Linked DNA regions of Macaca mulatta. The protein of the gene in region 1 purifies or fractionates together with the protein of each later gene. This does not show direct contact. Links are inferred from orthologs where the notes say so. Each region holds a gene or a part of one and is shown on either strand. Other genes may lie near its edges.

What was found.
Region 2: the proteins of TSSC4 (region 1) and PRPF6 purify together in Homo sapiens (affinity purification with mass spectrometry; 3 studies listed by BioGRID and IntAct, counting the BioPlex papers as one, with this or other methods). This does not show direct contact. The link is inferred for Macaca mulatta from reciprocal best matches to the Homo sapiens genes TSSC4 and PRPF6.
Region 3: the proteins of TSSC4 (region 1) and EAPP purify together in Homo sapiens (affinity purification with mass spectrometry; 3 studies listed by BioGRID and IntAct, counting the BioPlex papers as one, with this or other methods). This does not show direct contact. The link is inferred for Macaca mulatta from reciprocal best matches to the Homo sapiens genes TSSC4 and EAPP.

The regions. Positions count from the first base shown.
Region 1 is NC_133419.1:2,307,533-2,311,276, forward strand, and holds the start of TSSC4 (U5 small nuclear ribonucleoprotein TSSC4), read left to right. Parts: upstream 1-1,140; 5' UTR 1,141-1,188; intron 1,189-2,219; exon of another isoform or gene 2,220-2,360; intron 2,361-2,711; 5' UTR 2,712-2,868; intron 2,869-3,028; 5' UTR 3,029-3,051; coding exon 3,052-3,744. UniProt on the Homo sapiens protein: Protein associated with the U5 snRNP, during its maturation and its post-splicing recycling and which is required for spliceosomal tri-snRNP complex assembly in the nucleus.
Region 2 is NC_133415.1:116,888,246-116,891,889, forward strand, and holds part of PRPF6 (pre-mRNA-processing factor 6), read left to right. Parts: intron 1-1,437; coding exon 1,438-1,600; intron 1,601-3,644. UniProt on the Homo sapiens protein: Involved in pre-mRNA splicing as component of the U4/U6-U5 tri-snRNP complex, one of the building blocks of the spliceosome.
Region 3 is NC_133412.1:107,641,004-107,644,647, reverse strand, and holds part of EAPP (E2F-associated phosphoprotein), read left to right. Parts: intron 1-652; exon of another isoform or gene 653-1,647; intron 1,648-1,957; exon of another isoform or gene 1,958-2,451; intron 2,452-2,701; coding exon 2,702-2,819; intron 2,820-3,644. UniProt on the Homo sapiens protein: May play an important role in the fine-tuning of both major E2F1 activities, the regulation of the cell-cycle and the induction of apoptosis. Promotes S-phase entry, and inhibits p14(ARP) expression.

The DNA.
Region 1 (3,744 bases):
CTATTTCCCAGCGGATGCCAGGACAGCAGGCCCTGGGGGAGTTCTCTCTCGAGCCTTTCAGAGGGACCAGAGGTCTAGCAGCCACGGGGAACTCAGATTCCTTGACTGTGTGGGGCATGAACTCTCCCAGCTGAGAAGGAGCACAAGGTGCCAACAGGGCCAGTGGCCAAGGGAGACGCGGCTTGTCGAAGGGAGAACCTGGGCCCTCGTCTTCCCTTTCAGGGCGGGCATCTGACCTGCCCCCTGGACAGGCTCCCAAGCACGGCGGAGGCCAAACCTTCCCGGCTGCCGCCCACCCAGCCACGCTGACTTGGAAGCTTGAGCATTCAGCGGCCTCCATCCTGCCCGGAAGGACCAGGGACCTGGCCCCAGCTTCCCCGCAGAGCCCTCGGGGGACGTCTCAGTGCCTCCCGGAGCCCGGACCAGTGCACCAGAGCTGAGGGCCCAGAGGTGTCAGGGTGGCCGGGCAATTGTGTGAGGACGACGCCCCACAAGTTTGCGGCCAGGGCCCAGTAAACCCCTAGGGGTGGGAAAGCGTCGGCCCAACCAGCGGGTAAAGCCCCCTTCACCCGTGACCCAGCGGCCACGACCCCGCGTCTTCATCTCGGGCTGGGACCGCCTCTGCGTCTGGCCTGAGCGGGACCGTGGGATCCCGGGGAGCCCCGCCTCGCTGCATTGACGAAGCCCAGGAGGAGCGACAGTTACCGCTTCCGGTCATGACCGGAAGTGCTGGGAACGGCATTCGTTCTCCATACGAGATGATGCACTTCCTGCCTGGGGCGGCCGCTGTTCTCGCGGTTTCCGGCAGGTGGCGCTGGGACCACGGGAAGCCGGCCCGGTTGTCGGTTAGCCGTCGAGCATTCTGGGAATTGCAGGCCTGGCCCCTCCTCTTCCTGTTCTTCTTGGTCAATTCCGGTCTTGGTTCCCCAACAAATGCCGTCGTTTCCGGGGCCGCTTCCGAGCCGGACCCAAGGGCCGGGGCGTAGAGGGGCGGGCGCATGCGCACAGGGCTACACATCCCGACAGGCGTCGGGAGTGGAGGCCCAGTGCCTTGTGGGAGTTGTAGTTCTGCAGGTGCGGAAACCGCGGCGCTCCGCCGGCAGAGCACTCGGTTTCCCAGAGGGCTGAGCGCGCCGCGCGGACGTGCGGCGCCGACCAAGATGGAGATTGCCGTGCATCCTTGAGCCGGTAGGTTTGTGCTGATGGAGGACGGGCCACGGTGGCCGGCCGAGCCTCCGGAAGGTCACCGAGCGCAGCTTTAAATTGAGCTCGGAGGCCCCGCTGTGCTTGCCAACCCCCGTACCTTGCGACCGGGCCCTTGGCACCCACAGCATCCTCTTGAGGCCCGGACCCGGGCCTGTCCAGCCCGACTTCGCACCGAGAGCCAACTTGGCACTGAGAGTTCGTTCTTTCCCTGGCGGGGAGGTCTTGCTGGCACATAGAGTGGAGAAAGGCCCGGCTCTGCATTCATGTGGAGAAACAGACGGCTTCCTTCAGTCTCCAGACATGAAGGAGTCAACTCTGCCCTTCCACTCATTGCCGGATCTCGCCGAGAACCCCGAGAACGGACTCCTGGAGTCCCTGTCTTGCAGCCCGATCCCCGCTCCCCCTCGGAGTGCCCCGCTGACCAGGCTGCTTCTGGCCGCGGCGGCGTTCTGCTGCAGAGGACGGGAGTGCGAATCTGGGAAGCAGGGGTCTGGTTGGAACTCCAGCTTCGTCTGCAACATACTGTGTGACTTGGGCAAATTATGGCCCCCGCCCCATTCCTGCCAGTTTTAAAACGGTCATCAGTGTGGGGGGTACTGGGTATCGCCTTTCCCTGGGGTGGCTTCTTCACTGAGGAGAGTCAGGCCTCAGAGGAATTGAGGTCCTTCCTGTGTTTGACCTGGTGGAGGGCACTGACAGTCCCTAATAGTACCCCTGACCCCATCCTTGTTGGGTGCACAAGACACAGGTCACTCTGGGCGGGCAAGGAGTGTTGGTAGCAGGAGAGGAGTCAGTGGATGGATGGCCGAGGACAGTGAAGAAGGGTGTGGATGGGCCGTCTTTTTTGCTTGGAAACGCAAGCTCTGAGGCACCTAGTCACTCTACCGCTAAATGGGTACAGGAGGCAGCATTTGTCTGCCCAGCTGGAAAGGCAAGGTATGTGCTGAGTGTTACAGGAGGAAGGTCACTGGAGGTCGCTCCAGGAGCTGCGGGGATTTGCTTCTGCCTAGCAGGGCTGCTCAAGGTGATGGTCGACACCCCACTTTCCTGAGAGCTTGACCCTCAGATGCCAGGGCCTTGGCTGCAGATTCCTTGGGAGCTCCCGGGGATCTTCCAGCAAATAGGAGCAAACCTTTTCCCCATGGATCAGGAAGGTGCCGGCTCTTTGTGGAGTACCAACTGCTCACCCTGCACAGCAAGCAGCTTATAAGTGGCCTTCCTGCCTGATCTCGGCCCTGGGTTTAAGCCCTGGGTGGCTGCTTACTACTAAAATCGCTTAGTAGCTCCAAGCTTGCCTGCAGAGGGTTGGCACGATTAAATGAGGTAACGAGTCAAAAGTCCCTACCCTGAGTCCTAGCCTGTCAGGGGCTCTGAAAACCCAGACTTAGGTCGGTCCTGCCTGGCACCTTAAGGGGTGACAATGTGCTGGCACTGGACACAACCTGTTTCACACATGTGTGCTCTGGTCTGAGGTTGGTCCTCTCCCCCACCCCACCCACCTGCAGTTGAGCAGCTGAACAGCGGCAATGCTGGGGCACTCCCAGGCCTGAGACGACCACGCCTGTGCCACTGAGGACCTTCAGCAGGGCTCCATTCACCTGGCCCACTTGGCTGTCCAGTCACACTCCAGTGTCAACCACTGGCACCCAGCAGCCAAGAGAGGTGAGAGGAGGGCTTGGAGGGGGAGGCGGGACTCCACCCTGTGTGGGACGGTTCTGTCAGTTGATTCTCTACTTGTCCAGGGGCAGTGGATCTGCAGGGGGAACTCATTCTCAATACTTTTCCTCCTGAGAGACAAACTTCCTGGGCCGTTTTGGTTTAGGTGTGGCGTGGCCCTGGGGACCCATGGCTGATGCAGGGACAGGTGAGCCGTCCCCCAGCGTGGAGGGCGAGCACGGGACGGAGTATGACACGCTGCCTTCCGACACAGTCTCCCTCAGCGACTCGGACTCTGACCTCAGCTTGCCCGGTGGTGCTGAAGTGGAAGCACTGTCCCCGCTGGGGCTGCCTGGGGAGGAGGATTCAGGTCCTGATGAACCACCCTCACCCCCGTCAGGCCTCCTCCCGGCCACGGTGCAGCCATTCCATCTGAGAGGCATGAGCTCCACCTTCTCCCAGCGCAGCCGTGACATCTTTGACTGCCTGGAGGGAGCGGCCAGGAGGGCTCCATCCTCTGTGGCCCACACAAGCATGAGTGACAATGGAGGCTTCAAGCAGCCCCTAGCGCCCTCAGGCCGGTCTCCAGTGGAAGGCCTGGGCGGGGCCCGTCGGAGCCCCGCCTCCCCAAGGGTGCCTCCGGTCCCTGACTACGTGGCACACCCCGAGCGCTGGACCAAGTACAGCCTAGAAGATGTGACCGAGGTCAGCGAGCAGAGCAATCAGGCCGCCGCCCTGGCCTTCCTGGGCTCCCAGAGCCTGGCTGCCCCCACTGACTGTGTGTCCTCCTTCAACCAGGACCCCTCCAGCTGTGGGGCGGGGAGGGTCGTCTTCACCAAACCAGTCCGAGGCGTCGAGGCCAGACACGAGAGGAAGAGGGTC
Region 2 (3,644 bases), on another chromosome or scaffold:
GAAGGCTAATCCACCACTGTTTTTTGGTTTTTTTGTTTTTTTTTTGAGACAGAGTCACGCTCTGTCACCCAGGCTGGAGTGCAGTGGCACGATCTTGGCTCACTGCAGGCTCCACCTCCCGGGTTCATGCCATTGTCCTGTCTCAGCCTCCAGAGTAGCTGGGACCACAGGCACCTGCCACCGCGCCTGAATCCACCACGGTTTAATGGCAGGCTAAGCTTCATTATAAAGAGCTCAGTTGGTCAGCTCTTCACCCACCTAATGGCAGCTAAGCATGGTGGCTCACGCCTGTAATCTCAAGCACTTTGGGAGGCTGAGGCGGGTGGATCACCTGAGGTCAGGAGTTCGAGACCAGCCTGGCCAACATGGCAAAACCCTGTCTCTGCTAAAAATACAAAAGTTAGCCAGGTGTGGTGACAGGTGCCTGTAATCCCAGCTAATTGGGAGGTGGAGGTTGCAGTGAGCTGAGATGATGCCACTGCTCTCCAGCCTGGGGGATAGGGTGAGACATCATCTCAAAAAACAACAGCAAAAAAGAACTACCCAAGCAGTTGCACAGTCTCCGCTTTGTCCGTGGAGTTATCCTGCAGGCAAATCGTGCTCTTTTCACCAAGTGGTGTTTGTTTTTTTTTTTTTTGAGACGGAGTCTCGCTCTGTCCCCGGGCTGGAGTGCAGTGGCCGGATCTCAGCTCACTGCAAGCTCCGCCTCCCGGGTTTACGCCATTCTCCTGCCTCAGCCTCCCGAGTAGCTGGGACTACAGGCGCCCGCCACGTCGCCCGGCTAGCTTTTTGTATTTTTTTAGTAGAGACGGGGTTTCACCCTGTTAGCCAGGATGGTCTCGATCTCCTGACCTAGTGATCCGCCCGTCTCGGCCTCCCAAAGTGCTGGGATTACAGGCTTGAGCCACCGCGCCCGGCCAACCAAGTGGTGTTTTATGTGTTCTTTTTTTTTTTTTAAGTCTCGCTCTGTTGCCCAGGCTGGAGTGCAATGGCATGATCTTGGCTCACTGCAGCCTCTGCCTCCCAGGTTAAAGCGATTCTCCTGCCTCAGCCACCTGAGTACCTGGGATTGCAGGCACGTGCCACCACACCTGGCTAATTTTTGTATTTTCAGTAGAGACAGGGTTTTGCCTTGTTGGCCAGGCTGGTCTCAAACTCCTGACCTCATGATCCACCTGCCTTGGCCTCCCAAAGTCCTGGGATTACAGGCGTGAGCCACTGCACCCAGCCATTATGTTTTCTTCATTCAGACATATGGTAGCCATGTCCGCGAGTGTTATAAGGGGGTGACTCCTGGTGCAGGTGTGTTAGAGGCTGAGCTGATTGGCTTTTGTAAAATCTGGGGCCCGAGGATCTGCTCTAGAGATCTGTGCCTGCTGCCCTGTTGTGGCTTCCAGCCTGCCCTGAGCCTTATTGATCTTATCTCTTGCCTCGCAGAGTGAAGATGTCTGGCTGGAAGCAGCCAGGTTGCAGCCTGGGGACACAGCCAAGGCCGTGGTAGCCCAAGCTGTCCGTCATCTCCCACAGTCTGTCAGGATTTACATCAGAGCAGCAGAGCTGGAAACAGACATTCGCGCAAAGAAGCGGGTTCTTCGGAAAGGTGAGCCTCCCTCGGAGGTGCCTTCCACCAGCAGGGGCTCCTGGGGTCTCTGGCCCCTCCCTCGGAGGTGCTGCTTTCTCCCTCCTTGGGGCCCCTCCTCTCAGCAGCTTTCCTGCTCCTGGCTCAGGCTTTTGGTGAGAGTGGATAAGGAACCAGGGACATTTTTCAGGCCTTTTCTCAGGTTGCGTTGCCTCTGCCCTTGGACCCCCATGGGGGAGGGATACTGTGGTGGGCGAGTTCCCATCCCAGAAGGGATGTTGGGGTTGAGCCCTCACTCCTGCCTTTTTCCAGTGTGTGATTTTGGATGCATTGGGCAGTCACTCTGTGGTCCAGGCTTCCCTCATCTGCAGGGTGAGAACCATAGTAGCTCAAAGCCTGTGTCCTGGGGCTCTGGAGATGGTCTCTGTGAAGAGCGGAGCCGGCAGCTGGCATGTGCACACCCTTTGTGGGTGTTACTCACTTTCTCTCCTGAGAAGGCATCGGAGCCCCACGTTGATTGGACTCCTCCCTGCTGCTGACAAGGCTGCGTCTCCTGCCCCCAAGGCAGCGTGTGCCGTCAGCTCAGGCCAGATGATGGCGGGCGGTGTCCCTGCCAGGGAACCTGACTCCATCCAGGGATTCCTGCTAGGATAGAGCTTTTGTGGGCAGTTTGTTGATTTTTCTTTCTGTGGTTTCTCTTGTCACTGGAAGCGTGCAGTAGATGCTGCTGTTGAACTGGGCCCAGAACAAGTGCTGGTCGGGGGCTGTTCTGAAGCCAATCTGTGCAGGTGGCTTCTTTTTTTTTGTTTTGTTTTTTGTGGTTGTGGTTGTTGTCTTTGAGATGGAGTCTTGCTCTGTCGCCCAGGCTGGAGTGCAGTGGCGTGATCTCAGCTCACTGCAAGCTCCGCCTCCCAGGTTCACGCCATTCTCGTCTCAGCCTCCCCAGTAGCTGGGACTACAGGCGCCCACCACCTCGCCCGGCTAATTTCTTTTTGTATTTTTAGTAGAAGTGGGGTTTCACCGAGTTAGCCAGGATGGTCTCCATCTCCTGACCTTGTGATCCACCTGCCTCCGCCTCCTAAAGTGCTGGGATTACAGGCGTGAGCCACTGCGCCTGGCCTATGCAGGTGGCTTCTATACAAATTTTTTTTTTTTTTTTTTTTTGAGATAGAGTCTTGCTCTGTCGCCCAGACTGGAGTACAGGGGCGCAATCTTGGCTCACTGCAACCTCTGCCTCCTGGGTTCAAGTGATTCTCCTGCCTCAGCCTCCTGTGTAGCCGGGAATACCGGGTGTGTGCCTCCACGCCCAGCCAATTTTTGTATTTTTAGTAGAGATGGGGTTTCCCCATGTTGGCTGGGCTGGTCTCAAACTCCTGACCACAGGTGATCCTCCCGCCTTGGCCTCCCAAAGTGCTGGGATTACAGGCGTGAGCCCCTGTGCCCAGCCTTTTTTTTTTTTTGAGATGAAGTCCCACTTTGTCACCCAGTCTGAAGTGCAATGGCACCATCTTGGCTCACTGCAACCTCTGCCTCCCGGGTTCAAGCGATCCTCTTGCCTCAGCCTTCTGAGTAGCTGGGACTACAGGCATGTGCCACCACGCCTGGTTAATTTTTGTGTTTTTAGTAGAGACGGGGTTTCTCTATGTTGGCCAGGCTGATCTTGAACACCACACCTCAAGTGATCCACCCACCTCGGCCTCCCAAAATGCTGGGATTACAGGCGTGAGCCACTGCGCCTGGCCCAATTTTTTTTTTTTTTTTTTGAGACAGCGTCTCGCTCTGTCACCCAGGCTGGAGTGCAGTGGCGCGATCTCAGCTCACTGCAAGCTCTGCCTCCTGGGTTCATGCCATTCTCCTGCCTCAGCCTCCTGAGCAGCTGGGACTACAGGCGCCGCCACCACGCCTGGGTAATCAAGCCCGGCTAGTTTTTTTGTATTTTTAGTAGAGACGGGGTTTCACTGTGTTAGCCAGGATGGTCTTGGTCTCCCGACCTCGTGATCCACCGCCACGGCCTCCGAGAGTGCTGGGATTACAGGCCTGAGCCACCGCTCCTGGCCAGAGACAG
Region 3 (3,644 bases), on another chromosome or scaffold:
CTCACTGCAAGCTCCTCCTCCCAGGTTCATGCCATTCTCCTGCCTCAGCCTCCCGTGTAGCTGGGACTACAGGCGCCCGCCACCACGACCGGCTAATTTTTTTGTATATTTAGTAGAGACGGGGTTTCATCATGTTAGCCAGAATGGTCTCGATCTCCTGACCTTGTGATCTGCCCGCCTCGGCCTCCGAAGTGCTGGGATTATAGGCGTGAGCCAACCGCGCCCAGCCTTGTTTATTTATTTTTTAGGCAGAGTGCCACTCTGTCACCCAGGCTGGAGTGTGGTGACACAGTCTTCGCTCACTATAGCCTCTGCCTCCTGGGTTCAAGCGATTCTGGTGCCTCAGCCTCCCTGGTAGTTGGGACTACAGGCGCACACTACTGTACCTGGTTACTTTTTGTATTTTTAGAAGAGACAGGGTTTCGCCATGTTGGCCATGGTGGTTTGAAACTCCTGATCTCAGGTTGTCTGCCCACTTTGGCCTCCCAAAGTGCTGGGATTACAGGCATGAGCCAGCACTCCCTGCCTGCTAGAATATATTCAAAAAGTCTAGTGTATGTAGATGGCCATAGTGTTTTTTTTGTTTTTTTTTTTTTTTTTTTTTTTTTTGTAGAGATGGGGTCTTGCTTTGTTACTTAGGCTGGTGTCGAATTCCTGGCTTCAAGCGATCCTCCCAAAATGCTGGGATTACAGATGTGAGCCACTGTGTCGGACCTCATACTGTGTTTTTTTTTTTTTCAATTTACTTTTGAAATATTTTTGTTCTAATTTTAGTAGCATTTTATATGTGAGAATGCATGGAGAATTCATACATCAAAAATAATTTATATTCTTGGCTTGTTTTGAGTGGCTCTTTTGAGTTTCTGAATTCTCATTGTTTGAACTTAGTCCTTGAAATACCAGTTTTGGGTAAATAAACAATTTTTGCCTCCTTTGTCATTTTATTGCCTTATTAGTTGGAGAAGAACTTTATTTTTTACATTTTTGTTGAATTTTTTACTTTTTTAGAGATAGGTCTCACTCTGTCACCGAGGCTCCAGCAGTGCAGTGGTGCAATTATAGCTTACTACATCCTCAGACTCCTAGGCTCAAGCCGTCCTCCCAGTTCAGCTTCCCTAGTAGCTAGGACTACAGGTGTGCTAGGACTACAGGTGTGCCTGGCTAATTTTTAATTTTTATTTGTGTAGAGATGGGGTCTCATTATGCTGGCCAGGCTGGTTTTGAACTCCTGGCCTCAAGTGATCCTCTTGTCTCAGCCCCTCAAAGCTCTAGAATTATAGGTGTGAACTACCGCACCCCACCTGGACAAGCACTTGTTTAGATGAAGGGTTTTTTTAACTTTTTTTTTTTGAGACAGAGTTTCGTTTTTGTTGCCCAGGCTGGAGTGCAATGGCACAATCTCGGCTTACCGCAACCTCCACCTCCTGAGTTCAAGTGATTCTCCTGCCTCAGCCTCCTGAGTAGCTGGGATTACAGGCATGCTCCACCATGCCCGGCTAATTTTGTAGTTTTAGTAGAGACAGGGTTTCTTCATGTTGGTCAGGCTGGTCTCAAACTCCCAACCTCAGTTGATCTTCCCCCCTTGGCCTCCCATAGTGCTGGGATTACAGGCATGAGGCACTGCGCCTGGCCTCTGGCCTTTTTTAACTTGTTTTTTTTTTTTTTTTTTTGAGACGGAGTCTGGCTCTGCCGCCCAGGCTGGAGTGCAGTGGCCGGATCTCAGCTCACTGCAAGCTCCGCCTCCCGGGTTCCCGCCATTCTCCTGCCTCAGCCTCCCGAGTAGCTGGGATTACAGGCGCCCGCCACCTCGCCCGGCTAGTTTTTTGTATTTTTTAGTAGAGACGGGGTTTCACCGTGTCAGCCAGGATGGTCTCGATCTCCTGACCTTGTGATCCGCCCGTCTCGGCCTCCCAAAGTGCTGGGATTACAGGCTTGAGCCACCGCGCCCGGCCTTAACTTGTTTTTTTTTTGGAGACAGAGTTTTCGCTCTTTTGCAGAGGTTGGAGTGAAGTGGCACGATTTCAGCTCACTGCAACCTCTGACCCCCTACCCAGATTCAAGCGATTCTCCTGTGTCAGCCTCCCAAGTAGCTAGGATTATAGGTGCCTGCCACCAGGCCTGGCTAATTTTATATTTTATTTTATTTTTTTTCTTTTTTGTTGAGACAGAGTCTCGCTCTTGTCACCCAGGCTGAAGTGCAGTGGCATGATCTCGGCTCACTGCAACCTCTGCCTCCTGGGTTCAAGCAATTTTTCTGCTTCAGGCCTCCAAGTAGCTGGGATTACAGGTGCCCGCTACCATACCCAGCTAATTTTTGTATTTTTAGTAGAGACAGGTTTCACCATGTTGGCCAGGCTGGTCTCAGACTCCTGACCTCAGGTGATCTGCCCGCCTTGGTGTCCCAAAGTGCTGGGATTACAGGCGTGAGCCACCGCCCCTGGCCCTAATTTTGTACTTTTAGTAGAGACAGGGTTTTGCTATGTTGTCCAGGCTGGTCTCGAACTCATGACGTCAGGTGATGCACCCACCTTGGCCTCCCAAAGTGCTAGGATTATAGGTGTGAGCCACTGCGTCCGTCCCTTTTAAAACTTTTTAGGGAAAATAAAAATAAATGTGTAGCTTGGGAAATGAGACTATTCATTTAAAGAAGTGTGAACTTGACACATGATTCTTAGCCATATCCTAACATTTTCAAAATTAGTACAGGTGACCAAGAAAAAAAAGAAGAAACAACACAAGATTCCAACAAATGACGAATTACTGTATGATCCTGAAAAAGATAACAGAGATCAGGCCTGGGTTGATGCACAGAGAAGGGGGTAAGAACTTAATGTTTAGAATCTTTAGGAAAAAATGATTGAAAGATGATTTTTACTACATTCACATTTTGAATATATGTGTATATGTTTACACAAACACATACACACACACAAACAAAAAAGTTTGAGGAAAAAACTGCTCAATAGTTTATTTTGAAAATAACCAGCAAATTTTAGTGAGACAATTTATTTTTAAATTTTAAATTTTATATTTTATTTTATTATTATTATTTTTTGAGACGGAGTCTTGCACTGTCACCTGGGCTGGAGTGTGGTGGCGCGATCTCGACTCACTGCAACCTCTGTCTCCCGGGTTCAAGAGATTTTCCTGCCTCAGCCTCCTGAGTAGTTGGGATTACAGGCGCCCGCCACCGCGCCCAGCTAATTTATTGTATTTTTAGTAGAGACAGGGTTTCACCATGTTGGCCAAGCTGGTCTCAAACCCCTGACCTCGTGATTCACCCACCTCGGCTTCCCAAAGTGCTGGGATTATAGGCGTGAGCCCCTGCACCTGGCCCGACAATTGTTTTATTTTTTAAAAAAACTCGTTGAATTCAGGCTGTGTTAGTCAATCTTTCCTTCAAGAAAAACTGACTTTTTTTTTTCAGATGTCGTTTTAAATTACTTTGAGATTCAGAGTTTATGTGGATGAGCCAGGGTAGTGGCTTATGCCTGTAATCCCAGCCACTTTGGGAGGCTGAGGCAGGTGGATCACCTGAGGTCGGGAGTTTGAGACCAGCCTGGTGAACATGGTGAAACCCTGTCTCTACTAAAAATACAAAAATTAGTGGGGCAATGGTGGTGCACACCTGTAATTCCAGCTAC